7 linked regions of the Xenopus tropicalis genome follow. The protein of the gene in region 3 binds, or shares a complex with, the protein of the main gene of each other region. Links are inferred from orthologs where the notes say so. Each region holds a gene or a part of one and is shown on either strand. Other genes may lie near its edges.

Evidence for each region.
Region 1: sart1 (region 3) and ppih share a complex: the UniProt entries of both Homo sapiens proteins name them as parts of the U4/U6-U5 tri-snRNP complex. The link is inferred for Xenopus tropicalis from reciprocal best matches to the Homo sapiens genes SART1 and PPIH.
Region 2: sart1 (region 3) and snrnp40 share a complex: the UniProt entries of both Homo sapiens proteins name them as parts of the U4/U6-U5 tri-snRNP complex. The link is inferred for Xenopus tropicalis from reciprocal best matches to the Homo sapiens genes SART1 and SNRNP40.
Region 4: sart1 (region 3) and lsm6 share a complex: the UniProt entries of both Homo sapiens proteins name them as parts of the U4/U6-U5 tri-snRNP complex. The link is inferred for Xenopus tropicalis from reciprocal best matches to the Homo sapiens genes SART1 and LSM6.
Region 5: sart1 (region 3) and txnl4a share a complex: the UniProt entries of both Homo sapiens proteins name them as parts of the U4/U6-U5 tri-snRNP complex. The link is inferred for Xenopus tropicalis from reciprocal best matches to the Homo sapiens genes SART1 and TXNL4A.
Region 6: sart1 (region 3) and lsm2 share a complex: the UniProt entries of both Homo sapiens proteins name them as parts of the U4/U6-U5 tri-snRNP complex. The link is inferred for Xenopus tropicalis from reciprocal best matches to the Homo sapiens genes SART1 and LSM2.
Region 7: sart1 (region 3) and lsm3 share a complex: the UniProt entries of both Homo sapiens proteins name them as parts of the U4/U6-U5 tri-snRNP complex. The link is inferred for Xenopus tropicalis from reciprocal best matches to the Homo sapiens genes SART1 and LSM3.

Annotation. Positions count from the first base shown.
Region 1 is NC_030683.2:94,758,872-94,763,053, reverse strand, and holds the start of ppih (peptidyl-prolyl cis-trans isomerase H), read left to right. Parts: upstream 1-1,382; 5' UTR 1,383-1,385; coding exon 1,386-1,451; intron 1,452-2,327; coding exon 2,328-2,392; intron 2,393-3,646; coding exon 3,647-3,670; intron 3,671-4,182. UniProt on the Homo sapiens protein: PPIase that catalyzes the cis-trans isomerization of proline imidic peptide bonds in oligopeptides and may therefore assist protein folding. Participates in pre-mRNA splicing.
Region 2 is NC_030678.2:79,154,275-79,157,813, forward strand, and holds the end of snrnp40 (U5 small nuclear ribonucleoprotein 40 kDa protein), read left to right. Parts: intron 1-681; coding exon 682-847; intron 848-994; coding exon 995-1,117; intron 1,118-1,436; coding exon 1,437-1,557; intron 1,558-1,663; coding exon 1,664-1,746; intron 1,747-1,974; coding exon 1,975-2,036; intron 2,037-2,143; coding exon 2,144-2,247; intron 2,248-2,619; coding exon 2,620-2,669; 3' UTR 2,670-3,039; downstream 3,040-3,539. UniProt on the Homo sapiens protein: Required for pre-mRNA splicing as component of the activated spliceosome. Component of the U5 small nuclear ribonucleoprotein (snRNP) complex and the U4/U6-U5 tri-snRNP complex, building blocks of the spliceosome.
Region 3 is NC_030680.2:38,869,655-38,873,154, reverse strand, and holds part of sart1 (U4/U6.U5 tri-snRNP-associated protein 1), read right to left. Parts: intron 3,382-3,500; coding exon 3,255-3,381; intron 2,955-3,254; coding exon 2,849-2,954; intron 2,694-2,848; coding exon 2,619-2,693; intron 2,512-2,618; coding exon 2,415-2,511; intron 1,808-2,414; coding exon 1,662-1,807; intron 747-1,661; coding exon 540-746; intron 377-539; coding exon 258-376; intron 1-257. UniProt on the Homo sapiens protein: Plays a role in mRNA splicing as a component of the U4/U6-U5 tri-snRNP, one of the building blocks of the spliceosome. May also bind to DNA.
Region 4 is NC_030677.2:58,334,625-58,338,913, reverse strand, and holds the start of lsm6 (U6 snRNA-associated Sm-like protein LSm6), read left to right. Parts: upstream 1-1,489; 5' UTR 1,490-1,576; exon of another isoform or gene 1,577-1,753; intron 1,754-3,160; exon of another isoform or gene 3,161-3,347; intron 3,348-3,941; 5' UTR 3,942-3,956; coding exon 3,957-4,050; intron 4,051-4,289. UniProt on the Homo sapiens protein: Plays a role in pre-mRNA splicing as component of the U4/U6-U5 tri-snRNP complex that is involved in spliceosome assembly, and as component of the precatalytic spliceosome (spliceosome B complex).
Region 5 is NC_030682.2:96,972,567-96,976,761, forward strand, and holds the start of txnl4a (thioredoxin-like protein 4A), read left to right. Parts: upstream 1-1,395; 5' UTR 1,396-1,408; coding exon 1,409-1,561; intron 1,562-4,195. UniProt on the Homo sapiens protein: Plays a role in pre-mRNA splicing as component of the U5 snRNP and U4/U6-U5 tri-snRNP complexes that are involved in spliceosome assembly, and as component of the precatalytic spliceosome (spliceosome B complex).
Region 6 is NC_030684.2:75,103,095-75,107,085, forward strand, and holds lsm2 (U6 snRNA-associated Sm-like protein LSm2), read right to left. Parts: upstream 2,801-3,991; 5' UTR 2,663-2,800; coding exon 2,660-2,662; intron 2,196-2,659; coding exon 2,128-2,195; intron 1,645-2,127; coding exon 1,614-1,644; intron 730-1,613; coding exon 670-729; intron 553-669; coding exon 427-552; 3' UTR 94-426; downstream 1-93. UniProt on the Homo sapiens protein: Plays a role in pre-mRNA splicing as component of the U4/U6-U5 tri-snRNP complex that is involved in spliceosome assembly, and as component of the precatalytic spliceosome (spliceosome B complex).
Region 7 is NC_030680.2:132,918,360-132,922,407, forward strand, and holds the start of lsm3 (U6 snRNA-associated Sm-like protein LSm3), read right to left. Parts: upstream 2,801-4,048; 5' UTR 2,788-2,800; coding exon 2,767-2,787; intron 1-2,766. Other genes in the region: xpc (DNA repair protein complementing XP-C cells), read left to right, coding at 3,483-3,567. UniProt on the Homo sapiens protein: Plays a role in pre-mRNA splicing as component of the U4/U6-U5 tri-snRNP complex that is involved in spliceosome assembly, and as component of the precatalytic spliceosome (spliceosome B complex).

The sequences.
Region 1 (4,182 bases), on a different chromosome or scaffold from region 3:
CCGATTCCCGAACGATCCGATACTATCGTTAAGTTATCGTATAGTTGATGGTGTGCGAACGATCGTCGGCCCACTAATCGACCCGACATTATTGTCCCCAAAATCGATCGGCCAGGTTTAAAAATTTTAGTCGTTTAATGATAAAATCTGCCAGTTGGTGTGAGTGTCAGACATTTGTCTTCGAACGATTGTTCTCTGCGCATGTCATGATTGCCAGCAGCGGAAGTCAACGAACATAAATAAATAAATACCGCTTCCGCCACGACATTGGATCGTACGTAGATGTACGATTGTAAAAATTGCAAATTATCGTTGCCTGTGGATGGCATATCGTATGGAAACCCGGTCGCCATACGATCGTTTGTCGATATAATAGTTCGTCGCACAACGAGTGAAATCGCCTTGTGTATGGGGACCTTAACATCAGAACAGTTATCTGTTTTCCTTCTCAATGTATACTCACTCAGCTGTATGGTTGTAAGAGCTGACCAGTAGGCGGCGCTGTTTATAAGCAGATTAAAAGCTTTAAAAAATAATTGATGTAAAATGCAAATGTGACTAGAAGAGGACACTGACAAATTTATATTAACTTTTTAGGTTTTAGATATACTTTATTCCCCAGTCAATTTATTTGTTAGGGCCCAGGTTTCATACCCATATCAGTTTCTTGGGAAACCTGATTTCCCTGTACTTTGAATTTATGGAATAGTTTTGAAGGCCAAACAGCAACAAAGCTGCCAGTGGAGAGGGAGATTTTATGGGAAGTGATATACAAACAATAAAACCTCCCTTCTCCTCACAGAATACAGAGGGGATTTGGTGTGTTCCCTATGTGCAGCAGCCACAGGTAACCATAATTCTACCTACTGCATAAATACACACATACACCCACACAGAAGCAGAGCTCTGTTATAAACGCACTCTCGCCCACACAGCATCACGGCTGTGATCAGGCCACATTGAAATAGGAACTAAAAAAAAAGACGTTTCCGGTGTGGAGCGCTGAGGCGCTTGTATTAGCACTGCTTGATGTGAGAGCAAGGCAGACAGCATGGATATTTACAGATATGGATAGCTTCAACAGAAATAAATTTAATTGCACGGAACATGTGAATGCTACAACTCCACTCCATCCAAAACTAAACCTCTGTACTGCTTATATGTCAATGAGTAAATCAGGTTTAGTCACGCGTAAACGTACTGCTATTGCCACTCTCCCATAATCCCCTGCAAGGTTAGAAGCGCAGGCATATCGCATCGCCCACCAACTTCATGCGAATAAAGCGTGTAAAACAATGCACTGCGCCTGCGCATACAGCCTACAAGCAAGCCGCTTCTGGGATTGAAGCGCCGCCTCTTCTCTTCCGGTTTTGCCCCAGATAGAAATGGCGGTACCGGCTTCCAACGCTAACAATCCCATCGTATTCTTCGATATCAGTATCGGGGGGCAGGTAACACGCGGTGTTAAGTATAATACATTGAGAAAGCCCTGCATTAAATGATGATTCCATACTTACGTACTGAGAAGAATCTCGCCATGCAACACCACCTACAAACTGCAGCTGAGCAAATGGGGCTGCATGGTGTAGTGTAGTATTAGCAAGAAGGCTAAGTGTGTACTGTGACTGAAGGACAGATTTTTATATTCATAGCAGAAATTATTATGTATTTAAATTGTATTCCACGTGTATGGGCCCCACTGTTCTTTCCGATCTCTAAACCCTAAAACTTTACTGATGGTCCTAAACATGCACTCTAAGCCCTGAGAAAATCCCTAAATATGAACTCTAAAATTCTCATGGCATCCCAATTCATGAACCCTGCCCCCAAGGAAGACTGGGCGTGAACCCCAAAAGAGAGCCCAAAACAAAACTTGTAAAGCCACCAGACGGCTGATCAAACCAATTAGGGGAAAAAAGATCATCTTGGAAAGCTCTGAATATTATCCTTAGAATGTATGGAAAAAAGTCAACATGGAAACTAGACATTTTGGAAAATGTGTCAACATGAGGGCTAATTTGTCCATTCCGTGTCTTTGAAAAAGTTGTTCTTTCAAGCAAACTGTTGCTATACCTATTTATTCTGCATTTATTTAAATTAAAGTTATACAGAATATTAAAAACATTGGGTGGCCTAATTTTGTAAGCTTTTAAAGTTTTGTAATTGCTATATTTTATGCTATTCAACTTCAAATTAGTTTGCTTGTGTGTAACTGTGAAGAAAGGCATATATTCTGGGAAAACATGAAGGGTATGATGACTGTAATACCAATGTGCTAATTGTCTTTTCACAAAAAAAACTAATTTAATGTCCATTTACTTTTTCAGGAGGTGGGCCGGATGAAGGTGGAACTTTTTGCAGATATTGTACCAAAAACTGCAGAGAACTTCAGGTGAAGTTGCATGACTTTTGCTGTCAAAACTCTGGAGTAGTTATATAGCAACACTGACAAAGTTTGCAACTGCCCATAACCCAAAGCAACCAATCAGATGTTTGCTGTCATTATTTTAGTCTCACTAGATCAGTAAGACTAAGGGCTCTGGCACACGGGGAGATTAGTCGCCCGCGGCAAAACTCCCTGTTCGCGGGCGACTAATCTCCCCGAGTTGCCTTCCCCTGCCATCCCACCGGCGAACATGTAAGTCGCCGGCGGGATGGCAGATGCGGCGGCGCGATTTCGCGCAAATCGCTGAAAAAGACTTGCGAGTCTTTTTCGGCGATTTGCCGAAATCGCCTCGCCGCGTCTGCCATCCCACCGCCGGCTTACATTGTCGCCGATGGGATGGCAGGGGAAGGCAACTCGGGGAGATTAGTCGCCCGCGAACAGGGAGTTTTGCCGCGGGCGACTCATCTCCCCATGTGCCAGCTATCTGTCGAGCCTACAAAATAGACAGTACTGATAGGATTGTTTTGCCTTCAATAGGGATTAATTATATCTTAGTTAGAATCAAGTGCAAGGTGCTGTTTTATTATTACAGAGAAAAGGGAAATCACTTTATATCATTTGATTTACTTGATTATAATGGAGTTTATAGAAGATGGCTTTCCCTGTAATTCTGATTTTTCTGGATAATGGACTTCTAAATAATGGTTCCTATACCTGTATTATATCTAGCAAACAGTTTTTAAATAGCTTAAAGCTTTACAATTATACTAATAATATATTATCCACATAGAGTTCCTTTCTGTTTTGTTTCTCTCATCACAACTAAGTTCTTTAATATACAGCCCTCTGCATCTAAAAGAATTTGACAGCACTACTTTACACCCCTTGTTTCTTTTTTTCAAACCATCCAAAGGTCCCTTCCCACAGGCATTAATATTCTCACCAGCAATTTACATCAATGCTGGTTGTAAGGAAACTTTGGGCATTTGTCACCTGCACTGAAGGAGATTTAGTTTTAGTGTTTAGAAGTAAAAGTAAATGGAGGATAAAGTAAATTCATGAATTTCCCATTTCTGATGCTTAAAGCTGATGCCAGAATCAACCCATGTGGCATCAGTCTAAGGGGCTATTTCTGATATCAAAAAGAAGTTGTTGTAGACTAATGCATTATGTGCTATGCAGGAATGCATTGTTGTGCAAACAGATTACGTTAGGTAAAGTATCTGCTAATTGTAAATAATTCTTTATTTCTCATTTCAGGCAATTCTGTACTGGCGAATTTAGGTTTGTATCTGTACTTCTTTTGCCCCGATCGGGGGTTTGATCTAAGTAATGGGAGTAGACTGGAATAAATGTTGAAGCACAATTGTTTCCACAAATCCTCATAGTTAAGTTCTAAGAAACTGGCTTCAGTGCTTCTCTGTTTTCATTCATTGTGTAGCAAATTCTGCAAGAAGCTAAACTGTCCATTGGCTGCTTGGTGGGGGATTATGAATATAATAGCAACAATACTTTTTCTGTAGATCAACTAATACTCAAAATAGTACATTGAAATTAAACGTAATAAGCAATATGGCAGCTTTCCTGACAGGAAAGACAATAACTGTTTTAAAATATTAAATAGTGCACCGCAGATATTTTTAGCACCTGTGCTGTAATACTGACATCTGCTTTAAGGGTAGTAGAATATTTACTGCAGATTGCATTTGCAAATTAGTTCTGAGTTTATTTATACCCTCCATTGACGTTCAGGGCTGAATCATCGGATATAGAGGTAGAAACAATAGCAATTCTAC
Region 2 (3,539 bases), on a different chromosome or scaffold from region 3:
TATGTAATAAAAAAAAACTCTTAAAGGGATGTTTAGTTTTAATTGTGACTTGTTCAACTGTACTTTGTAAAATCAGCATATCTTCAGTTCAGATTCTTTGATTATCTTTTTTTATTAAATGGATCCTGAATGTAATCATGTACATGCTCCTCTAGTTCTGTCTCATCCAGGGGTGGAGGGGAATTACTTATAGAGAATGTAGTTTTGTTTTTTTTGTTTTTTTTTATCAGAGTAAGGCATTCAGTGGGCATATATGTAATGGTCAAAACATTTTACCCTCTAAAACGAAAACGGTGTTATTCTACCAGTAAGGACACGGTGCTAGTAACAGAGTGTTGAAACTGATACACTACATAAAAGTATTTTATCAGTGATTTGACATTGGATTGGGTTCTGTTTGGCAAGGGAATCATTATATATGTTCCAGTCAGTAAACTCTGGTATATTGAGCAATTAATTTGGAATTTTCTGCTTTCTTAGGAATGCATGCATCAGGCCATTTCGAAGCTTACTGCAGTGCACTTGCTATTTTTATACCAGTGACATGATAGCTTCATGTTACCTTCTACCACAGAGAAGTAGGCAGCTGTAATACGTACTAAGCTTAAATTTCAAGGAAAACTGTGTTTTTCATGTTTTAAATTGATATGTTGATAACAGAGTCCCTACATTTTCTTTCAGTCTGCTATTCTCTGCATCAACTGATAAAACTGTTGCTATTTGGGACTGTGAAACAGGCGAAAGAGTAAAGAGGTTAAAGGGACATACATCATTTGTAAATTCATGTTACCCGGCAAGGAGGGGACCGCAGTTAATATGCACAGGGAGTGATGATGGCACAGTAAAGGTTGGTAATATTTATGATCTGTTGATGTTTGGGTAATCCTTGTTAATTGGTTATAAATATATAATAATGGGGAAGAAAAGGAAATAAACAAGTAGGAAAGGTGAATAACTACCAGAATGCATAACTGTGCTAATTGTTATCTTATAGCTGTGGGACTTCAGGAAAAAGGCTGCAGTACAGACCTTCCAAAATACATACCAGGTACTATCTGTCACATTCAATGACACCAGTGACCAGATCATCTCAGGAGGCATTGACAATGACATCAAGGCAAGTAAACACAAAGGTGATTAGCACTTACTTGCTAAAGCAGTGCTGACCAGACCAAGCATATTTAGGAATTGCATGTAAAGAAGCAGCAAGTATTCTGGCATAGCCCTGTATACTGCAAACATTGTTTCATTTTTACGAAGTGATATGTTATAGGACCAGCCATGAAATGAGGCAGTTTTCAGATCTTATCTTTTGCCAATATCAGCTCTGTCATGTAAAGTTTGCTTCATGTTATTGAATTACAGCATGGTTCATAAAAGTGAAAAGGGTTGTTATAAAATGTCGTTTTTTGGGGGGTTTTTTTGTTTGTTTTTAGGTATGGGACCTGCGACAGAACAAGCTTATGTACACAATGAGAGGTCATGGTGACTCTGTGACAGGGCTTAGCCTTAGTTCTGAGGGCTCCTATCTTCTGTCCAATGCTATGGACAACACAGGTGAGTATTCTTATGCCCTTTTAAAATCACAAGACAAAACACACATGGAGGTGTTGCTGAATTGATTCAATAGCCAGTGAGTTTACTTCTTTGTTCTATTTTGCAGTACGTGTTTGGGATGTTCGTCCTTTTGCCCCAAAAGAGAGATGTGTGAAGATATTTCAAGGAAATGTGCACAATTTTGAAAAGGTCTGTATTTTGCAATATATCCAGATATATAACGTTTTTCTTTTCGATTCTTTGTATTGGGGAAAAATAGATGCCACTTCATATGGATTAGTTCCTTATCGCAATAGCTCACATTGAAGGACCTTGCACCTTCCCCTACCTAATTCAGATGATCATTACATATTTATTTTTCAATTAAAAAAAAAAAAAAAAAAAAAAAAGTAATGGTTTATATTCTTTCCTTAACAGAACCTGTTACGTTGCTCCTGGTCTGCTGATGGAAGCAAAATAGCTGCAGGATCAGCAGACAGGTATAACTGTTGTCTTTGGTTTAAATATTGCTTTGCCTCTGAGGTCTTTGTTTAATTTGCATAGAATGTTTATGTTTATGTTTTTTTTTTTTTTTTATTTTATTAAGATTTGTTTATGTTTGGGATACTACATCACGTCGAATTCTTTACAAACTTCCTGGTCATGCTGGGTCTGTAAATGAGGTAGCTTTTCACCCTGAGGAGCCAATTAGTAAGTCTCTCTTGTTAACTACTTTTCTCTTAATAAAACTTTCAAAGCAGAAAAGATGCCTTTTTTTTTAATAAGCTTTGTCATTTAACCGTTATTTAAATACACAATAAAACTTAATGCCATATGATAGTGTGTGAGGGGCAGGGGTCATTTTATCCAAAGCTTTATTTGTATAGGTGTGATATCCCATAGTTATAAATTCATTTAGTCTTAGACTAAGAAATCCTTGTTGTCTTATGGTCATTTTTGTGAAAATTATGACGTATTGATTTATAAATTCTTTGCTAGTGCAATGTTTATTTAAGGAAAATTGTTTTATCTGTATTAGCTTAATTTGCTCTGATTTAATTGTAACCACCTTTTCTGTTTCAGTTCTTTCTGCCGCTAGTGACAAAAGATTGTATATGGGGGAGATCCAGTGATTCACCCAGTGCACACAGATCATGGAAAGCCCAAGCTTTTGACAAGCCCCACTTATCTTTAAAAAATCCTTTGGTTCTCAGAGACTTACAACAGTGTGTATGCTAGTCTGCTCTGGTTTACTGGACTTTTTTTTTTTTAAGACATGGACTTCTGACATGCTTGTCTAAGACCTTCGGCATCCCTGTGCTAATATAAGCTCTTTCTGGGGCTTTGTTTCTGATTTTTTTTTTTTTTTTTTTTTTCTGCCCCACTACCCTGGGTATCAAAAACCTATAGACATCCCTTATCACACCAATTTATTCATTGTGGCTTGATATGAACTCTGTATATCCTGTGTGTTTATTTTATATGATAAACTGTTTTTTATTATAGTTTTGTTGTTTATTTAAATCTAGAAAGAATATTCAACATATTCCGATAGATGCTGTCTCCTGTGTTGAGATTGTGTGTTTTGGTTAATACAGATTTTTACCAATTTTTTTTATTTGTATATACAGGCACTGGGAGCATCAAGAGTAGACTATGGGTCTGGTTTTCAGTAAAGACCAGTGGTTATCTATAGGGATGCAACAAACCCACTTTTTTGGCTTTGGCCGAACCCACCCTGAGGGATTCTGCCAAAACCCGAACTGAATCCTAATTAGCATATGCTAATTAGGATCGGGAAGGGTTAAAAGTTGGTGCGTGTGGCGAAAAAATTTTCCCTAAAGAAATTTAACCCTTTCCGAATGCTAATTAGGATTCAGTTCGGCTGGGACCATGGATTTGGTATTAAGTTCCTTGGTAAACTTTCTACCATCTTTTTGTGTATGCTGCCAATATTTTAACTTCTTTATTATAATACCTTATAACTTAATGAGCTCAGTTGG
Region 3 (3,500 bases):
GCTTTTTTAGGTTTTAGTTATAATTTACTTTAACACAGGTCTAGAACCCTATGACCATAAGATGCACCTTCATCTAAACCATCTAGCTTAGTGTGTCAAACCATGGTGTGAAATTACCTCCATATTGGGTAGCCTCAGTTTGACTGTTAACTGAATTTTTATAATTAAAAAAACAGTGATGAATACATGTTTTACTCTGAGGCTACACTTACTATTTTATTACTATTAACAAAAGATATAGCAATTGTGCCCGTCACCTTGATCCAAAGTCAGTTTCTCTGGTATCATGATTAATGTTTAGAAGGTCATCAGCCCGAACAACCTTCTCTCTCTTACGAATCTTTTTCACTCGTCGCTTTGTTTTTTTAAAGGAGACCTGTGAACAAAAGAAACATATAAGGGAGTTTAAGTAACTTAAGTCACTGAATAATCAGAGAATAAAAATGCCCACTTAAATAAACATTTATAATTTTTTTCATAAAGACGCTTAAGTCATAACTAACATATCGATCCATCTAGCTCTTCTAAGACAAACATACCATCTCCTCGGGAGTGTAGTACTCCGAAGCAAGTTTAGATTGTGGAAGTTCCAGAGTATGAGCTTGGCTGTGCAAAGATTCCCGAATATTCTGTAGTTCCTTCTCCCAGGACCCATCAGCAACTCCTCCAGACTCCAGTTGAAATGACTTTTTCTTCTCTCCCTCTATCTCCTCATCATACTTGGAAAGAACTGATTTGGGGCGGAACTAGAGAAGAGACATTTAAGCCAAAAAAAAAGTTAATTGCACCAAAAGTCCTCATAAATCTAAAAAATAATTCTAGAAATCAAATACAAAAAGGTTTTGTCAATCATGACTATTCCACAGTTTTCTATAGCAAGAATAACACCACTGAGGGTAGATTTACTTCATTATATTTATTTAGTATCATTTTCCTGTTCTGGTTTTTCACATCCTGTCGCTAAAAATGCTGTCTGGTTGATAGGATTACTGATCCCAGCAAGAAATAACAGATGGACTGTGGGATTTTATGGTTTTTATTTTCTATTACTTTAAATTCTAAGCAAAAACAATTAAAGGACACTAAAGTAAACAAGTGGGTAAAATAAAAATTCGATTTACAATTTATTTTCATTTACTCTACAATTATTTTGTCTTTACCATACTAAAAACTAATTTATGAAACAAACATATTTGCTGCAATGTTGTTCAGTACAGGCTAAGAACTACTAAGCCAAAGTGAAAAATATGTCTGATTAATTAAGCTTCTCTGTTCGCACAGACAACCTTATTCTCAAATCATTTAGTAGCAGATACTGGTTGTTCACTCAGGAAAGCTTCATGGGTTTTAAGAGTCAGATAAAAGTTAAATTATTTAAAAAACAAAATAAACACATCCTACAAGAGAAAGATTTGACTAGGGTCTGCACTAGTTATATCTAACTTATATGGACTTATTATTTCCTTATACCACAGTAAATCTAGACATCCACTGGCTACTTGTGCCTCATACTGTAAGCATGAACAGTTTCTATGTTGATGTCCATAAACCATAGTCTGTATCTTCATCAATGCTGCTAATAAAAATTCTGTTAAACATAAAAATTACTGTATGCAGTCTTAGTGCCCTTTAGAATCAGGCTTGTAAGATAATGCACTTACAACTGCCATGTCCTCCACATTTTCCTCCTCTTCATATGGTTTGTATTCAGGCTTTTTCTTCTTCAACTCCACATTTTTCTCAGCCTTCTCTTTATCCACTAAGTTTACATTAACTAGAACATCTGCGTCATCTTCATCTAAGACACCTGTAAAAGAAATATTTTTATATACTGCTGGGCATTTAGAATAAAACAAACCAATATACATCTGTATGAAAAGTGATAGTAGGTTGGGTGGACTGTCAATTAGGCATTAATGGCTGTGTACCAGGCAACAATGATCTCAACAGGGTCTCCCAGCTGTTTATCAGCAAATAGCAATCCAGCATATTCAGTCCACATAAGGGTCCCCAAGACCCTGTCAAATTTCCCTTGCCCCCCGGTCTTATGTTAGTTTAAGAGTATCGTACACCAGCTGCCTCCAAAAAGTGAGTGAGCCTGAAAAATCATCCAGATATCCATCAGAAAGCTTTGAAAATCCCAATACACACCACCCTGGCACACTGATGTGGTTCTTGTCCGGTGGCCCAAAGTCCTAGTATTTCCCATTTGCTGGCAGATTTGATGAAACTGATATCCGTGCTACTAAGCATGGGACGGTAAGGAGCAGACTGGAGTTTCCTGTGTCTGATAAAATGCCACATGTGCATTGGCCTTACTAAACTAATTACAGGAGAGGTATTGAGCATGAAAGCAAAACTATACTCCATTACTGCTTTTTCATTAAGAACAAGATTTGGAAAAACAAACGCACCTTTGTCCTTTAAAGTGAGAATGACAGTCTGTCCTTCTTTGAAAGCATTAATTTTGTGTTCCACAGTGAGTCCCTGAAGATCACGGGAACTGTAATGCTGTAATACACAAAAATTAACATGTAGCACGTATGAAAATAAAAGCTACACAAAAAGTTCAACAAAAAAGTGCAGACAAAAACATAAATTGATTTTACATCACCTACCTTCTTTTGACCAAATTCTTCTTCCACAAGATTAGAAACGCCAAACTCTTCGTCCATTTCAGCAAGAAGTTTTGCCTGAGACGAAAAAAAATGTAACTGAAAAGCACAGTATTTCAAATATTAAGAATGGCAATCAAACTTAAAATAATTAAACAATGTTAAACTGCAACGGAACTTTTTAGATTTAAAGTCAGTCAACTCATCATGATAAGAATATTAACAGTACTCACCCTCTTCTCAGCTATTTCCTTTTCCATCTGAAGCTTACGGCTTTTTTCAATCCAGGCAGCTGTGTCATCTAACCATAGCTCATCATCTCCCAGAGATTTGATTTTACTATAGAAATTACAAGTGAAGAGTATGAACTGCTCTGTATAATGTACTGTTACATTTCCCACAGTCCCCAAAATATGATTTACAGTTGCACTGATAGCTGGTTATGTACCCACACGCCCTGTAGCCAAATGAAAACCTGAACAGGAGCCTGAAGCAAACTTGGCAGTATGATCACTACAATGCATTCAGAGAGGCAGAAAAGCATTCCCAACATGTATTTTACCACAGCTAGCACATACCCATTCTTTTGAGGTTTTGACTTATTTTTATCACTTTAGGTCCGCACCACTCTCCTCTTACCCTAATTTCTGATTCAGCAATCTCTTCTCTTTTGCAGCAGCTAACTTCTCTCTAAGTTCTTGTTGCTGTTTTAGTGCAATAGGATTAATGACAGAAGCAGCTACAGGATCTTCTTTAGTGCCGCTCTCTGCACATGTTAAACAGAATAAATGTTTGCACATTTTCACAATAAAGAAAAAAAGCATTATATAAATAAAAAATGGTAAAGTAAGATACCGACATTTGTTAACTTTGTAAATTAGCGCT
Region 4 (4,289 bases), on a different chromosome or scaffold from region 3:
AAATTGATTACTTGGTATTTACCTTACTTTCATATTTCTAAATACAAGTTGGTGAGCAGATTATTTATTTAGCTGCCAAGTTCGCTTATTCTTTGCTTATTTGGCTAGCTATTAAATTAATTAATTCATTTATTTGCATATCATATTAGTTATTTTCATTTTTGTACATTTTAATTCCTTCCGAGGAATCTTAAACAGTTACGCTCACAGAGCGTCTCCTCATCCCCTATGTTTGCATGGGTGGGTTCATGGCAGTTGCAGGGCAGATTCAAGTTCTGGATGTGAAAGCTAGTTACCCAGCAATTACCAAATGAATGAAAACAAAAAAAAAAAAATATTGTATAATTGTTTATAGTTATAAGCAGAGAAGACCTAAACAGCAATAAAGACAGGTATAAAGTGACAATTTAGAGGAGTGAGTGAGCTTCCCCCACACCATGCTTATAAACAATTTGCAGGATTTCCAATTTGGTGTCAGTCACTGGCCTCTTGGTGACTGCACATATATTTCTTAAGGTGCCCACACACCTTCAGATCCGCTCGCTTGGTGATGTCGCCAAGCGAGCAGATCTTCTCCCAATATCCCCCACCTACGTGTGGGCGATATGGGGAGAATCCAGGCTAATTCCCTGGGGCCAAACGATCGCATTATAAAGACGGGTATAGGTGAAGTCGTTCCAGGGACCGCATCAACGAGCTGATACGGTCCCCGATCCAACTAGATTTTTTAACCTGCCCGATCGATATCTGGCCCAATTTCAGGCCAGATATTGGTCGGGCAGGCCCATCGGTAGTGCCCATACACGGGCTGATTAGCTGCTAGAATTGGCCCGTGTACAGGGACCATTAGGTGCCATGACATTCACCACTTTAATAAGGATATTTGCAAATACATGGTGTACAGCAGGTAATGAATCAGTAAAGATTTCAGATGAATAATACCAGGCTCCAATTGAATAATGTCATGCCACACACAGCTTATCAGTATTAGTAATCATTTTTGATGCTAGTGACATTTTGTGTGGCTGATTAAAGTAAACTGACCCTTCAATCAGAAAGGATTATATGGGAAGTTTCAGAAAATCAAAGTAGCTTACCATAAGTAAAGTGCATGTGCCTGTATAAAATAGATACAAAAATAAATATATGTAAAATAAAAATACGTATACATTTGCGTCAACTCAAAGAAATGTATTACGTTTAGCAAGTAAGAGTAATGCTGAATCAGAACACGTTTTTAAAGTTGGAGGCGAGGTTTCTTTACTAGAATGACTTATAATGGCATGGTGCAGGGATTCAAAGCCATGAAACATACAGGATATCCCAGCCATTACTACATACAAGAGGTGCAGAGGAGCCACAGCGCCGCCTCTCGCCCTGATTGGACGCATCATTTCCCGTGTTAACGTCATCGTCCCCTTTTGACCCCCGGTAGGCGGTGCCTCATTCAGGAACCCGATTTACTTCCGTACGGCGCACACGGCTTTCGCTTGTTTTTGGATTGTCCTGAGACGGACACCGTAAAAAGGGGTAGGAAGGAGAGAGGCGGGAGAAAAGGCATCGCACGGGATACAGGGTGAGAATTACAGGGTGGCTTATGGCCGCCTGTAGTATTTGCATTGATGCACACCATCTAGTATGGTTAGTGCTCATTACGTTCAGAGAAAAGTAGGTAACAACAATAATTAACCTAAATGTGTGGCTCCCGCGGTGTCTATGCGAAGCGAATTCTGGGAGTTGTAGTTCATCCCAGGTGTGTGGCCGCTGCATTACATTGGGATTGTATTATGTATTGTTCAGCTATAATGTTTCGAAGTAGATTTGCTACAGGCACCCTTTTCTTGATACATATTTGTATTGCTCCCGGCAGGTGGGTATTGTAATTCCTGAGCAATATACTGATTACCAGCAGGCTGTACTAGAGGGGCTCAGTGCCAAGTACATGAGAGCTCCTCTCACAGGGGCTGTATAGATCTCCCTGCTACATCAGAGGGATGGAGCTTCTTACTTATAGATTTAGAATCATTTGTAAGTTTAAGCCCAGCTACAGTGTGTCAGTGTTGGGCTCTAGCCCTAATGTATGTAAGCCCTAATATATCTATGTTATCAGTGAGCTTTTCCACTTAATATTTTATTCTGGCAGTAACCAACATGCTTGAGGCTGTCACTGACAGATTTCCTCTGCTCTAATTGGCTGATACCAGCATGAGTCACATTTGTATCAGACTGCTGACAGACACCATGGTGGATATGTTTGTACAGGTATGGGATCCTTTATCCGGAGACCCATTATCCAGAAAGCTCCGAATTACGGAAAGCCCCTCTCCCATAGACTCCATTTTAATCAAATAATTCAGATTTTTTAAATTGATTCCCTTTTTCTCTGTAATAATAAAACAGTACCTTGTATTTGATCCCAACTAAGATATAATTAATCCTTATTGGATACAAAACAATCCTATTGGGTTTAATTAATGTTTTATTGTTTTTTTAAGTAGACTTAAGGTATGAAGATCCACGTTACAGAAAGACCCCTTATCCGGAATACCCTTGGTCGCTAGCATTCTGGATAACTGGTCCTATACCTGTAGTAGGAAACGTTTAGGCTGAGGAAGCACAGTATTTCTTAGAAATGATAAGAGACACTGAATAAAAACCTTTGATAAATACAATAATATATCAGGGAATTTGAGGACTGTGGAGTCGGTACATAAATCCTCGGAACAGTAACACAAAAAATGAAAGCATATAAAAGTAATTAAAATATAATGTACTAGTGCCCTACACTGGTAAACATTGTGTGTTTCCTTCAGAAACCCGAATATAGTTTATATAAACAAAGCTGCTGTGTAACCATGGGGGTAGCTGTACAAATTGAAAATAAGAAGAAAAGACACAGGTTACATAGCAGATAACAGATAAATTGTGTAGATTACCATTGTACCATTCTAAAGCGTGCATCTGTTATGTAACCTGTGCCTTTTCTCCTTTTTTCTAGCTTGAATGGCTGCCCCCATGGCTACACAACAGCTTATTTATATAAACTATATAGTCTTACTGAAGCAAACATGAAACTTTTACCAACACAGAAATACCCAATCTTAACCCGCCTGCTCCCAACCCTACCCGACCCAGCTTCTTCCCTTTATTTATAGACCTACTCCCGACCCTCCCCGCAATGACATCACGAAGGGGTGGGGCATGTCGGGCGCGCACCTATAAATTCCCAAGCTGGAATCGGAATATCAGCATTGTTAGGTCTCGGTCATGGAGGCTGACCGGAAGCACTCAACCCGAAGCCCACCCGCGACCCGCAGGTGATGTGCCAAGGTCGGCCTGACCTGCAGGTATTGGGCCAGCCCGCACATCAATAGTGCCCACTCCTTATTCTGCTGTAGACACTGAGGAATACAGAGCCTCCAGTTAGCTGTGATTTAACCCTGTTTTAACTGCTTTGTCTTCTGATTTTTTAGAACACATCTCTTATAGTGCTTTCCTGGCTTTCCTTTTAAAGGCTAGTTAAGACGAAGATATTTCTAACCAACTGCAGGCGAATGGATTGTCATTGCTGTTGGTTAAATTTGGTGGAATAGTTTAATAGAAAACTAAAGTTTAACATTTCTAGCCTGCTTCTTTTAGAGTTTAGTGTTTGTAGAGTTTATATTCTTTAAAATAGGACTTATACTCCACAATGTTTGCTGTGAATTCTGGACCAAAGCGGCAGTCTATTTGTATACCATATCATAGTGCAGATTTGCCAGTTCTAATGCACTAATCTGTGCTGTTAAATCATCAAACTGACAATAATGACCAACTGCAACTGATATAAAAATGCTGGTCTGAAAATGTGAATAATATATAATATCTGTAAAGCACTGAGGAATATGTTGGCACTATATAACAATAAGAGAATTATTTTGTCTTGAAACCTTTCTTTACAGTGAAAGGGAATTAGAATGAGCCTGCGCAAACAAACACCGAGTGACTTCTTAAAGCAGATTATTGGAAGACCAGTGGTTGTAAAGCTCAACTCTGGAGTCGATTATCGAGGTAAAGCTTAAAGTAAAAGGCAACCTGAATTCCTTTTATATCTATCTTTTATCAACATTTGGAATGAGGATTATGAAAAATGTATTTTTACAAATTCATTCTGGCTCTGTTTCATGTCCATGTTATAATACGTATTTTCCCTCACTTCAAAGTTTGCACATTCCAAAGCAATACATTTTCCCACAGATGCTGCTTAAATTTAAATATGCAAATCAGGGTTACGTTTGGGTCGTATTCTT
Region 5 (4,195 bases), on a different chromosome or scaffold from region 3:
CCCCAATTACTGCACCCCATTTTTAAAAAAATACCCCTTTTATATAGATCAAATGGCGGGCGCAGATGAAAATGTGCTATACCCTCATACTGAACGACCTAAGGAAAACAATATAGCAACTCCTACATTAAAATACAAATATAGAGAGAAGGCAGTCAGTTATAAGTGAGTTATAACTAAGTACCAGTTTTGCCCCCCCATACACAGTGCCCCCATACACAATAGTCTCCCATACACAGTGCCCCAATACACAGTACCCCCCCCAATACACAGTACCTCCCATAGGCGCAGCCTTCGTCTGCGGCTTTGTTATGCCTCTCCTTGTGCAGCGCGACAGGCCCTTTTATAAGGTTGCGCTCCGTGCGTAATGACGTCACACCCACAGGCGCAACCTTATAAAAGGGCCTGTCGCGCTGCACAAGGAGAGGCATAACGAAGCCGCAGAAGAAGCAAGAACATCTGGCTACAGCAAGCGCATCCCGCTGTGCCGGATAGTTCCATGAATGTCCCGCAATGCGGGACATTCATGGAACTATCCGGGACAGCGGGATGCGCCGTAAAAAGCGGGACAGTTGGGGGGGTATGACCACAACCAGGAACTTAAAAGCCTTATTTCTCTGTTCCCTGTGCCTGGCATAAGCTAAATCTATTTAAATTTAAATAGTCTAGTCTAATCTAGTTAATTTAAAGGTTCTGTTGGGGCATAGGCTCTAGCTGCAGCTACTGGGCTGTGCATATAAAGAAAAGAAACAGCACATGTTCAACTCAAGTTCCATCTTCCTTTGACATTGGCCTCAAGGCAGCTACGTGCTGCGTAACCACGTTTATAGTATTGATGTGACGTCACCTTCTCGCGAGATGAGACTTGCGGTGCGTTGGCTCGCTGTACGGCAGGAAGCGAGGGGCTACACGGCAACAGCACCGCAAGACTTTTAAACAACCGTACGGGACTGCGGACTGTATTAGTTAAATCAGCACAGTTGGGTGGTATGTAGCCTATATATATATATATATATAAGGCTTTGGGGCAGCTTGTTGGTATAACTCAGGAGCTTGCTATTGATTCACATGAATTTGCACCAATACTCACCCAAAGTGGCCTTCAGGCAATCCCCCTGCCTCTACTGCAGCCCCACATTTCCCAGATTCATGTCGGATTGTTACGAGCAGCATTACGCTACAATTTGTATCCTCATCTGTAAACTATAATCTTGGGGGATACTTCGGACTCTTTAACCATTAAAAATATTTAAAATTTGCCCAGATAATTTTTAATTGAAAGTATTAGCATGTTAGCCTGTCAGTGTAGATGGGAGTATGTTTGTATCTTCACGCATTTGAGAAAAGTGTTTCATTTCTTGCAATACTTCTTTTCTTGTCCTTTTAGCTTTAAAGCAAAGCTGCCAAAATGTCGTACATGCTTCCTCATTTGCACAATGGCTGGCAGGTCGACCAGGCAATCTTGTCTGAGGAAGACAGAGTTTTAGTTATACGTTTTGGCCATGACTGGGATCCAACTTGTATGAAGATGGATGAAGTTTTGTACAGTATAGCTGAAAAGGTAAGATATATTTATAGCAGTGTATCGAAGACCTGCAGGTCAGGTGGGTTTGGATTAAAAAAGGTTCAGGCAGGTAGAAGGTCCAGATGCCTGTATGTATGGGCCTGCCGCCTTATCCCCTACACCTGCCTCTAAGCATTCCTCCAGCAGCTGCCCCCCCCTTTGGGGACATAAGTGGTGGGGACCCCCCACATGTGTGATTTCTCTAGCTGGTTCAAGGCATAGTTAAAAATGGTTTGGCAGGAGTGGGTCTTTTTCATACATATTAATATAGATTCAGGCCTTCTCCTATTTATCTTCAAGCCAGTGACTGGAACCACTGACTGGTTACTTTGGTCAACACCCCTACTAACCAAATAGCAGTGTAAATAAGAAAATGGAGCTCTACAGGAAACATGTTGATCTAAAGTCACAACCAGGAGACAGAGGGTTATGGTGATGCCGCTTTTAAACAGAGTATGGAGCATATTCAGCTTGAACTTAGGATGAAGAAAGTAAAGGCTAATGCACGACTCAAATACATTTGCAAATTTAAGAGAAAATAACTAGGAAATGCTCTAGTGGTAAATTATTCTATATAAAAAGGGGATCATTTCTTTTACCAGTTTAGTTGGTGATCATTACAGGGAGCCTTAGTTTAGAGAGAGGGGTAGAAGAGCAAAAATTGTGACATCATTCCATCAAGTAAGGGTGCTGTGTAGGTTGAGGCCCCTTGGAATATTTGTTCATATGTTTTCTGAGAACGGTGGGGGTCATTTATCAACACTGGGCAACTTTGCTCTTGAATAGTAACTCATGGCAACCAATCAAGTTGTTGCATTCATTGTTCTAAATGCAGTTAGCTGAAAAAGCCAATCATGGATTGGTTGCTATGGGTAACTGCCCAAAGGCAAATTTGGCCAATGTTGTGTGAGTGCTAATGATTCTACATATGGAACCTCAAAGATTAAGTATTTTCATGTTTGGAAATAAAGAAAAAACATAGAAAAGGCGAGATTCTGTATATTCTGTGTTATTTCACAGGCATCCCAAAGCACATACACTGCCTTGCTGTATTTGCGTTCGAGGTCTACTGTCTGGGGTGATTGAAGATCACAGGACTGGGCCCATTAATCGAATATCTTGTGATGAAGTATGTTATTACTATATATCTATTTTGGTATTTGCCTACATTTTTAGTTAGAACATAAAAATATAAATGTTAAAGTGGACCTAAACACCCCAAAAGAAATTAATGTAAAATTGGTAGTATGCTCTTCTGAGCACTTTTATAATGTACACTGATATAATGAATTTAAAACTGCAGTGCTCTGTTAAGGTAGTTACTGAGCAGAGAGGTTTCCTTGGTCAATGATATTGCCTACTGAGTAACTCAGTAACATCATTTTATGATGGCCAGCTGATCAGAACAGTAGGGAGCTGTGTGGTTTCAAATAAATTATATTATTATTGCAAAGTGCTTATATCTTAAAATGTTCAGTGTAAATAGTAAAAGTGCTGAGAAGAGTATTCTGAGCAGTTGTACAGTATTTTGCTTTTTGGGGTGTTTAATTCCCCTTTAAGTGTGTGGAAATTGTTTATTGATTATGGTGTTTCTTGTTACCTCATCTATGGTGCCGTAACTGCTGTTTTGAAGGTATTTCTTCTGGTGCAGAGATAAGCTAGGTGCTTAGTGCATTACCACATGGCTAGATCATGCTCCGAGTGATAAATGGTGCATCATATATGCATTTCTGTTATGCTGACTTGTGTTCTGTCTGTATCTAAGCTTTTGGCTGTTGCTGTTTTTTAAGTTACAAAATATTTTATGCTTTTTTAAGACTGTTCTTACATCAGTGTTGGTATGAAATATTAGCCTGCTAGGTCATGATGAAGGCAGATGCTGAGTGACAGCACAGTTAGCTGCATTATTTGGTTAATATCTGTTGCCTGTGAAAGAAAGTTATCCATGTGATTGAAGGATCTTTTTTAAGGGGGGGGGGGGGGGGGAGTATGATTTGTATTTTATTCCTACAAGTTATGTTTTAACATTTACCAGTCAGACTGTACAGTGCTGTATTCCTTCACTACAGTGTTTTTATCTTCTCCTTCACAGCTCTTTTATTTATTTTTGGATTTTTAGAGATTAGTTAACATTTTAGTTATTAGTTATCATTGTATAAAAACTCACCCTTTAATAAATATAACTGTAAAAATGTTATACAGTTGTATTGAGAGTTTTGAATTTCTTTCTGGGGAACTGTGTCAAGCTGTATTTAACCGCCATTTAGCACTCCAGAGAATGTGTTTCCACTGTTCTGAAGTCCAGTGGCGATGGCATTTACAACTTTTGTTTGCAATCACACTTTATGCTGTTAGTTTTGTTTGCCTCTGATTGGCCAACAACCCTTGGTGGCATTGCTTCCAGAGAACTTAGCAGCTCTGCTGTTGTGTAATGCTCACAACACACATAAATAAACACTCTAATCCTCAGAAGTCAATCACTTTTATTTTATTTATCCTTGGGGGGGGTCTGTTTGGATGAAAACCACTGATTAATCTGATTGCTTCTAAAAATGATTAAAGGAAAAGTAACACTAAAAGTAAAAAAAAAAGTAAGTACTAAAGTAAAAAATCTATTCTACCTTGCTCCAA
Region 6 (3,991 bases), on a different chromosome or scaffold from region 3:
TTAAACCAGTAAAAATCATATTACGACAAAATTAAGAAAGGCAGATACAAACAGAAGGAACTAGCTTCACTAAAAAAAAAAAAAAACATGAGCTGATGACTTAACACAAAATTTATTTAAGTAAAAAAAAAAAAAAGTTAGGGCAGTCTTTCCCAATTAACTCTGCTTATCTGAGACCACTTCTTTGCAGAGCAAAATGCATTGCTTGGATTCTAAAGTGAACACACAAGTCACTGCACTTAAAAAAGTTTCCAGAACTAGGATGAGAAAAAAAAGTGTGGGTCTCTTACAGAAATGTAATGCAAAACCTGTATAACAGGTAACAAGTTGCTGCTCACTCCTATATTTGGCCTTATAGAAATATAGGCAGTTGACAACACCTAGTGCTGCTTGTGAACCTGCTTCCATCCTTCTAGCTCTTGTACATCACTGCTTTTGCTGTACAGCTTCTTTCCGTGCAGCGTCCTGGAGAAGCTGAGTGTCTACTTCATCAGCAGGGAGCTGTACATAGCGGACCACAGATCCCCGAATGAAACAATTCTTTACAGACAACTAAAAAAAAAATTTTTTAAATAATTACATTAACAAGTGTTTCAAAGCAGGATTAAAAGCTAAGTATCTAGTTTACTGGTGCAGATAAAAAATACAAAGAAAAAAAAAAAAGCTTACCATGTGTGGATATTTTTCTGGGTCTGTTACACTGATATCAGTCAGCTTAATGTTCAAATACTATAAAAAAAAAAAAAAGTGAAATCTTGTTTGAGATAATGAAAAACACAAGTTCCCCCCAAAAGTTCTATTCCAAGACATATTCCTCTATGCAGAATGCAAAAGATGATGTAGCACACTGATCACACATTAAATAAAGTGATTTATTGGCTTAATTAGCAGACATCTACTGGGAACATTTCAGCCAGTCTGAGAGTGACCCAAAACATTGCAAGAGTCGGTGCAACTTAATGCAACCACAATAACGGATCAGTGTGCTACAGCATCTTTGACCCTGGGCAGGTGGGTCTACAGACTGTTTAGCACCAGACACCTGAAAAGGTACTACGATAACAGGTAGAGCAGAGATATTCCTCTATGCAAACAAGCCCTCTAGGGTATAAAAAAAAAAAAATATGAGCAATATTCTCTTTGGAGAATCTTGTAGTAATTATGTTAATAAATATTCCCTGGTTTGACATTATACTCTGCAGGATGCGTACATTTTATTAAAGGCTCTGTCCCTTCAGGGGTTGTTCACCTTTGAATGAACTTTTAGTATGATGTGGACAGTGATAATTGGAGACAATTTGCAACTAGTCTTCATTATCGCAGTCTTTAATTAAATTTAGCTTTTTTTATTGCAGCTCTCCATTTTGGAATTGTAGGCGCTATCTGATTGCTAGGGTTTAATTTAACCTAGCGTTGTGGAAATTTCAGTAATGGTAAAGTCATTTAAAAGAAAATTTTCACTTTTTCATTTTTTTTTTGCCAACCCAACATTTTTCCCTGGCACTGAAAGATTTTATGCCAATTTCAGTTGCAAGGCTTAAGTGACAACATGGCTGAGCTGATAATTATGCTGAGAAAATAAACTACATTTATATATTTGCTCAGTTACTTACCTGATCAACTGAGTGTAGAGTACCACAGATACTGCAAGAGATAAGACCATTTATGTAATAGTGCAACAAAAGGCTAAATGGATGAAAGATGGCTAAATGGTAAAGAAGTGGTTATTTAAGGGTGTGAAGTCTACAGGAGCACAAGAAAATGTTTTTATAAATTCTGTCTACACAATACACTCTGCCCTCTAAAGTTTGACAATGGTCAGGGGGACTCTAAGTGCTGCTGCACCCACCGTGCTTACCTCTTTTGTGTTGGGCACATCACAAGTGCAGAAAGCACAACTGCACACACTGCACTAGGTTTAAGGGCTGTGACACACAGGGAGATTAGTCGACACGCAACAAGAAAGATTTGTTGCGCGGCGACTAATGTCCCCGTGTGTCACATCCCTTAAAGTACAGAAATTAGGTTCTTGAAATGTACCAGTGGCAGCTTTTTGCCTGACTGTATAGCATGTGGGGGGGGGGGGGGGGAAGCAATTCTAGAAAGAACATGGGGCAAAACACTCACCTCAGATCATTCTTCAGCTCTACCACCACATCCTTTCCTACAAGAGACTTGAAGAAGGAGTAGAATAGCTGTACATGATAAAAACAAGTAGTTATAAAAACCAGTTGCCTCTCCTGTAGCTTACCCAAGGCACATCACATAACAAATGTTGCCAAGATCCTTTACAGATCAAGGCAAAGCATGTTCTCTCATAAGACACAAACAATAACAGAGACAGACAAGTTGTTCTGTCCAACTAACATCAGGTTACAAATGATTGAAATGTTGTTGCAAAGCAGGGATGGCCAAATTCGAGCCCTCCCACTGCTATAAGACTACAAATCCCAGAATCCTGGTATAGGCAAAACATGGAACGTCAAAGCAGGGCATGGCCACTCAGAAAGCTGACCTTGCGACTATAGGGGGGGGGGACTGATTGCCAAACAGGTCTGTATACGCTGGTACACCACAAAATACATGGCTATCGACTCCTTAGGTTCTACCCTACAAAACGTGAAACAGTAACGGAACGCTAGTGTTCTTAAGCGGTTACCATTGCTTCTGTTGCAGTCGCACCACCCAAGCTCTATCTGGAAACTGAAGAACAAAACAGACGCCGCTGACAACGACAGATCTACACACCAAATGCCTTCCGCTCATTCACCGCTCTAGCGCCTCTGCATAAATCTCGCGAGAATTTAAAGCAGCAGGAATTTGCGCGCCGGCTTCAGGCACCGGCCGAATGAATGGGTCCCACGGTGATGACGCAATCATGATCTCGCGAGGACAGAAAACATTTTTTTCATGTAACTTTCTTGAGAAGTCCCCTAAACGTATTTTATCCCTGAACAACTAAAATACGTTAAAAAAAATACAGGTTTTATAAACTGGGAGCAGGTACTAAGTGTAACAAAGTATAGATTAGTTTATGAAACAGTAGAATAAAAATGAACTATATTAAGGTTAGGCACTCCACATTAGATCTGTAATGTCCAACCTTAAAATGTTTTTTTATTTTATTGTTTCTTCTGCCAGCAGAATTCTAACCTAGGGCCAAACTAGCGACAGTCAGACAAGAATCAGATTTATCTCTCCTTGTTCTTTGGATCCCTTTTTTGTATTTTTTTAATCCCTAACCTTTGGTTTGTCACTTGCCCACCTCCTGCCCTTTTTGAGCTTCTGCTCAGAGAAAATGTCCCTTGTACCAGTTTATTAAACAACTTTGGATTCCAGGTGTAACTACAGAGGCTGGAACTGCATTCTGACCCACAAACACAAACTATCAGTTCTTGCACAACAAACATCAATTGTAATGTTAAGGACCAATAATTACCAACTCCAGGTACAAGGCATGAGGGTTACGAGATAGCTAAAAGGAGTTACGCTGTCCATACCTGGGCTAGTTACTGTTAAAGGAGACATATCCTATAAAAATTATGAATGTGCCAGTGAATTATACTCCTCTAGATATAGAAGGAATGTGCTTAAAAAAGTTGTATTTCAGACAGATTTATTGAGAAATTCCCCCAAAACCCCACTAGTCCCCCCCATCTGCTCCACTTCCTGCTGGCTGAATTCTCTGGATGAGCTGGGGAGCCAGCGGCCCTCTATACACTGCACTGTAGGATAGGAACCAATCAGCAGCTAGGCTGACCTGATAGGGAACTGAAGCCTGTCTTTGCTTGTGTGAGTGCAGGTCTGTGATTGGCTCTCCCCCTCCTACTGTGCTTCTTGCAGGGACCGTTAGGACACGCCCACTCTTCATTTCAAACATGGTCAGAGAAGAGAGAGGATCTATAGGGAGCTCCAATAAAGGGGCCATTTTTACAAATAGGATTAATGTTTAGCCCAAAGGGAAACCAGCACCGTATATTATTCATAATTG
Region 7 (4,048 bases), about 94 Mb from region 3:
TTTTAGTATGATTCAATTTATAGTTTTCAGTTTAAACCTAGTCCTGTGTTTCTGCCTCTATCTTAAAACTGTTTTTGCTGGATACATAAGAGTTGCCTGTATATTGTTTAACCCCTTAGCTGCAAAGTAATAATCATCTGCTTTTACCACAAATTCTGGTCCCCTTTCTTTTGCAGATGGTGCCGTGATATATTAGCCTCCTTATAATTATGATATTATAAAAAGTACTTTCAAGGAAATGTAAACCCAAGAAAACAGTCTCAAAACTGCCCAGCACTCTATTCAGAGCACTTTTGCAGTTGACTTTTTTCCCCCCCATGTCTTTCGAAGGTTTACATTTCCTTTAAACGAGTAATGGCACTTCTGATTCTATATTCCAGTGAATAAGTTGCAAATATTTAGCAATAGCAGTCTTTTAAGCCACACAATCAAGTGTCAGTGCTTGCAGGGGTACAGAGTATTTGCATGAGTTTAGTAACTCAGCATCCACAGGACCTTTGGGGGGGGGGGGGGGGGGAAGTGTGAAGGGCAGCAGGTCCTCAGGCAACTAAACTCAAGCTTGCTTGATCATTTGTCAATATATGAGAAGACTTGTCATATCTTTGTTGTGCTGGCTCCAAGAACATATATTAGCCAATGCCCGTCTGTTCCATTGTTTACTTTTGCACTTAACCTAGCCCATCAAAATAAAGACTTGTGCAGGGAATGTTAATCTAATGATTGTGATCTGTTCCTCTCATCCACTGACTGATTTAATGACAAAAACGGTCAAGCCCATCTGATCAAATGTTGGGACAATGCAGTTGAAATGATCGTATATTTTACAATCGTTTCCCCCTGAATGTAACAATAAGTTAATAATAAAGCAAATTTTATTGGTTCACTGTAAAGGTGGCCTTACACGCTAAGATCCACTCGCTTTGCGAAGTCACCAAGCAAGCGGATCTTCTCCCAATATCCCCATCTATGGGTGGGCAATATCAGGCTAATTCGGTCGTTTGGCCCCAGGGTCAAATGTCCGAATTAGGACGACGGCCATAGGCGTCTGTCTGTTTGGGGACTGCATTAACGAGCCAATGCAGTCCCCGATCAGACTGATTTTTAAACCTGCCTGATCGAGATCTGCCCGATGTCAGTTGGGCAGGCCTGTCGTTAATGCCCATACACGGCCAATAAGCTGCCGAATTGGTCTAAGGGACTGATATCGGCAGCTAGAATCAGCCCATGTATGGCCACCTTAAAACTGGTTGTTTCACATGACAAAATCTGCTTGTGTATGGGCACCTTTATTGTTTTGAGCAGTCAGATTTGATCTACAGTTACCAAATAGCATTTCTTTTCTCCCCTGCATGGGATTGTAAGGTCTGTGGGGCAGGGACCTCCTTCCTCTTGTCTAGGACACTTAGCACTATACCTTTAATGTAACTGTACTATTTGTATTTTAATTATAAATAAAGCCCAGAGTGTAGTTTCACTAGTGTGAAGTACAATACTCTTGTATTTGTGTCTTGTTGTTTTTTTATTATTATTTTTGACACTGGCTAACACGGTACTACAGTTTTTGTTTTGTAACCTGAGCTATTAAAACCTTACAGTTTTCATTTTTTGTCTTGTTTGAACTTTAGATTTAAGGAATGCTTGTGGTGTCTTTAATAAAAAGCCAAAATGACAGACTTAGGTTATAGATTTAGACCCGCTTGGGCAGCCAATAGGGTAGTGAACCAGCTGCCTAGCCAGTAGTTATTTAGTTTGCTCCCAAAAACATGCACCACCTCCATACAGCTTTCAAACTGCTGAGCTTTGGCAGTGATGAAATGTATGTTGTGTTCTTCCAATCAACATGGATTGACACATTAGTAAATTAGGAGACATGTTGGATAAATGGGAAAACCCCTCATTTTGTAGGCAATTATGAATAATATCCGGTGCTGGTTTCATTTTGGGCTAAACATTAACCCTATCTGTAACAATGGCCCCTTTATTGGAGCTCCCTATAGATCCTCTCAGGTCCCTGTCTGTGTTTCAAATGAGGGGTGGGCGTGTCCTAACGGTCCCTGCTAGAAGAACAGTAGGAGGGGGAGAGCCAATCACAGCCCTGCACTCACAAAAGCACAGACAGGCTTCAGTTCCCTATCAGGTCAGCCTAGCTGCTGATTGGTTCCTATCTTAGAGTGCCCCGGCTCCCCTGCACATCCAGAGAATTCAGCCAGCAGGAAGTGGAACAGATGGGCGGGGCTAGTGGGGTTTGGGGGGATTCTCAAATCAGTCCGAAACAACTTTTTTTTTTTTTAAGCACAATCCTATATCTAGGAGTATAATTCACTAGTATATTCTTAAATTTTATAGGATGTGTCCCTAAAAAACAGGAGTCAAGAGTCAATTGGGAGATAAACTCAGAAATCTGAGGTATAGAAACTAAAACAAGCCTTGTGCTTCTATTGTTTGAATATATTGACGCCATCAGCCACACAGAACATACATTTCATTTTACTCCTGACCACAACAACTGGGTTTTTAATCAGATTTACATCGCTAGTTATGAATATAAACACACTCCACCGGTGCTTCACGATTAAAAAAAAAAAAAGGCTTTGAAATAAAAGAGAAAACAGTCCAGTTTGAATAAACATTCACTTAATTCCCCGCAACATAAAAAAACCCTATACGCGTTCCCAAGCGAGACCGGGCCAGGAGCACCCCTTATGCCGCACTGCGCCGAGAACCGAACAGAACCTGTTTTCCAGTCTTATAAACCCACATCCCTACCTGCTCTCCGTCGTCCGCCATCTTCAAAACCCCGCGCAAAGGAAATAGCCGAGAACCCTGACAATTCTCCTATCGCGATATTTATGTGCCACAGGAAGAATGTGAAGCTCGGCCAATAGCGTGAGAGTATGGGCAGTAAGTGGCGGAGGCCTGGATGTGACGCTTGGCCAATAGCGTGAGAGTATGGGCAGTAAGTGACGGAGGCCGGAATGTGTAGCTCAGCCAATAGTGTGAGAGTATGGGCAGTAAGAGGCGGAGGCCTGGATGTGAAGCTCGGCCAATAGCGTAAGAGTATGGGCAGTAAGTGGCGGAGGCCTGGATGTGACGCTTGGCCAATAGCGTGAGAGTATGGGCAGTAAGTGACGGAGGCCGGAATGTGTAGCTCAGCCAATAGTGTGAGAGTATGGGCAGTAAGAGGCGGAGGCCTGGATGTGAAGCTCGGCCAATAGCGTAAGAGTATGGGCAGTAAGTGACGGAGGCCGGAATGTGAAGCTCAGCCAATAATGTGAGAGTATGGGCAGTAAGTGTCGGAGGCCGGAATGTGAAGCTCAGCCAATAATGTGAGAGTATGGGCAGTAAGTGGCGGAGGCCTGGCAGCGGGGTGCACATGTGTATGTTCCGGAAGTGACGCGTTAATGTTATTGTCTGAGACAGATTGTTTCCTGTTGTGTGGGTTATACAACCAGAGGGGACATGTGAGGTAGAATTGTGGGGAGATGGCAAAGCGGAGGGGGTCTGAGGGTGCTGCGGTAGCGGGGAACAAGCAGAGAAACCGCCCGGCAATAGACTCCCTGCATGGTGGTGAGTTTCTATGGGGTCTGCATGTCTATAGAGATTTTCATTCATCTTGTGAATGATATACAGTAACACGTAAAATGAAATCTAAACACAGACTTAATTCACAGACTTAAATAGACTTAATTCTTATAGGTACTGTATGGGGACACTGTGCAGAGTTTCTAAATAGGCTGGGAATAATACTGTAGTGAGTGCAGATTGAACCCTATGGGCATCAGCCCTGTACTATTCACTATACTGGTTTTAAGATTCTTCTATGATTGCTAAGGTAACCCCTAGAAACCAGATAAATTAAATACAAACCTTGACAACATAATTCAGAGACCAGATGAAATAAAAAATAAAGACCAGTTGCAGATTGTGTTAGTATTATGCCATCTGGACAATATTAAAAGATAGGCAGAGTTAGCCCTTGAATTGTGCATGGGCTTTTATTTCTGTGCTAAATGATTAACTACCAATGCTTTGGGCTCTGGTGGAACAT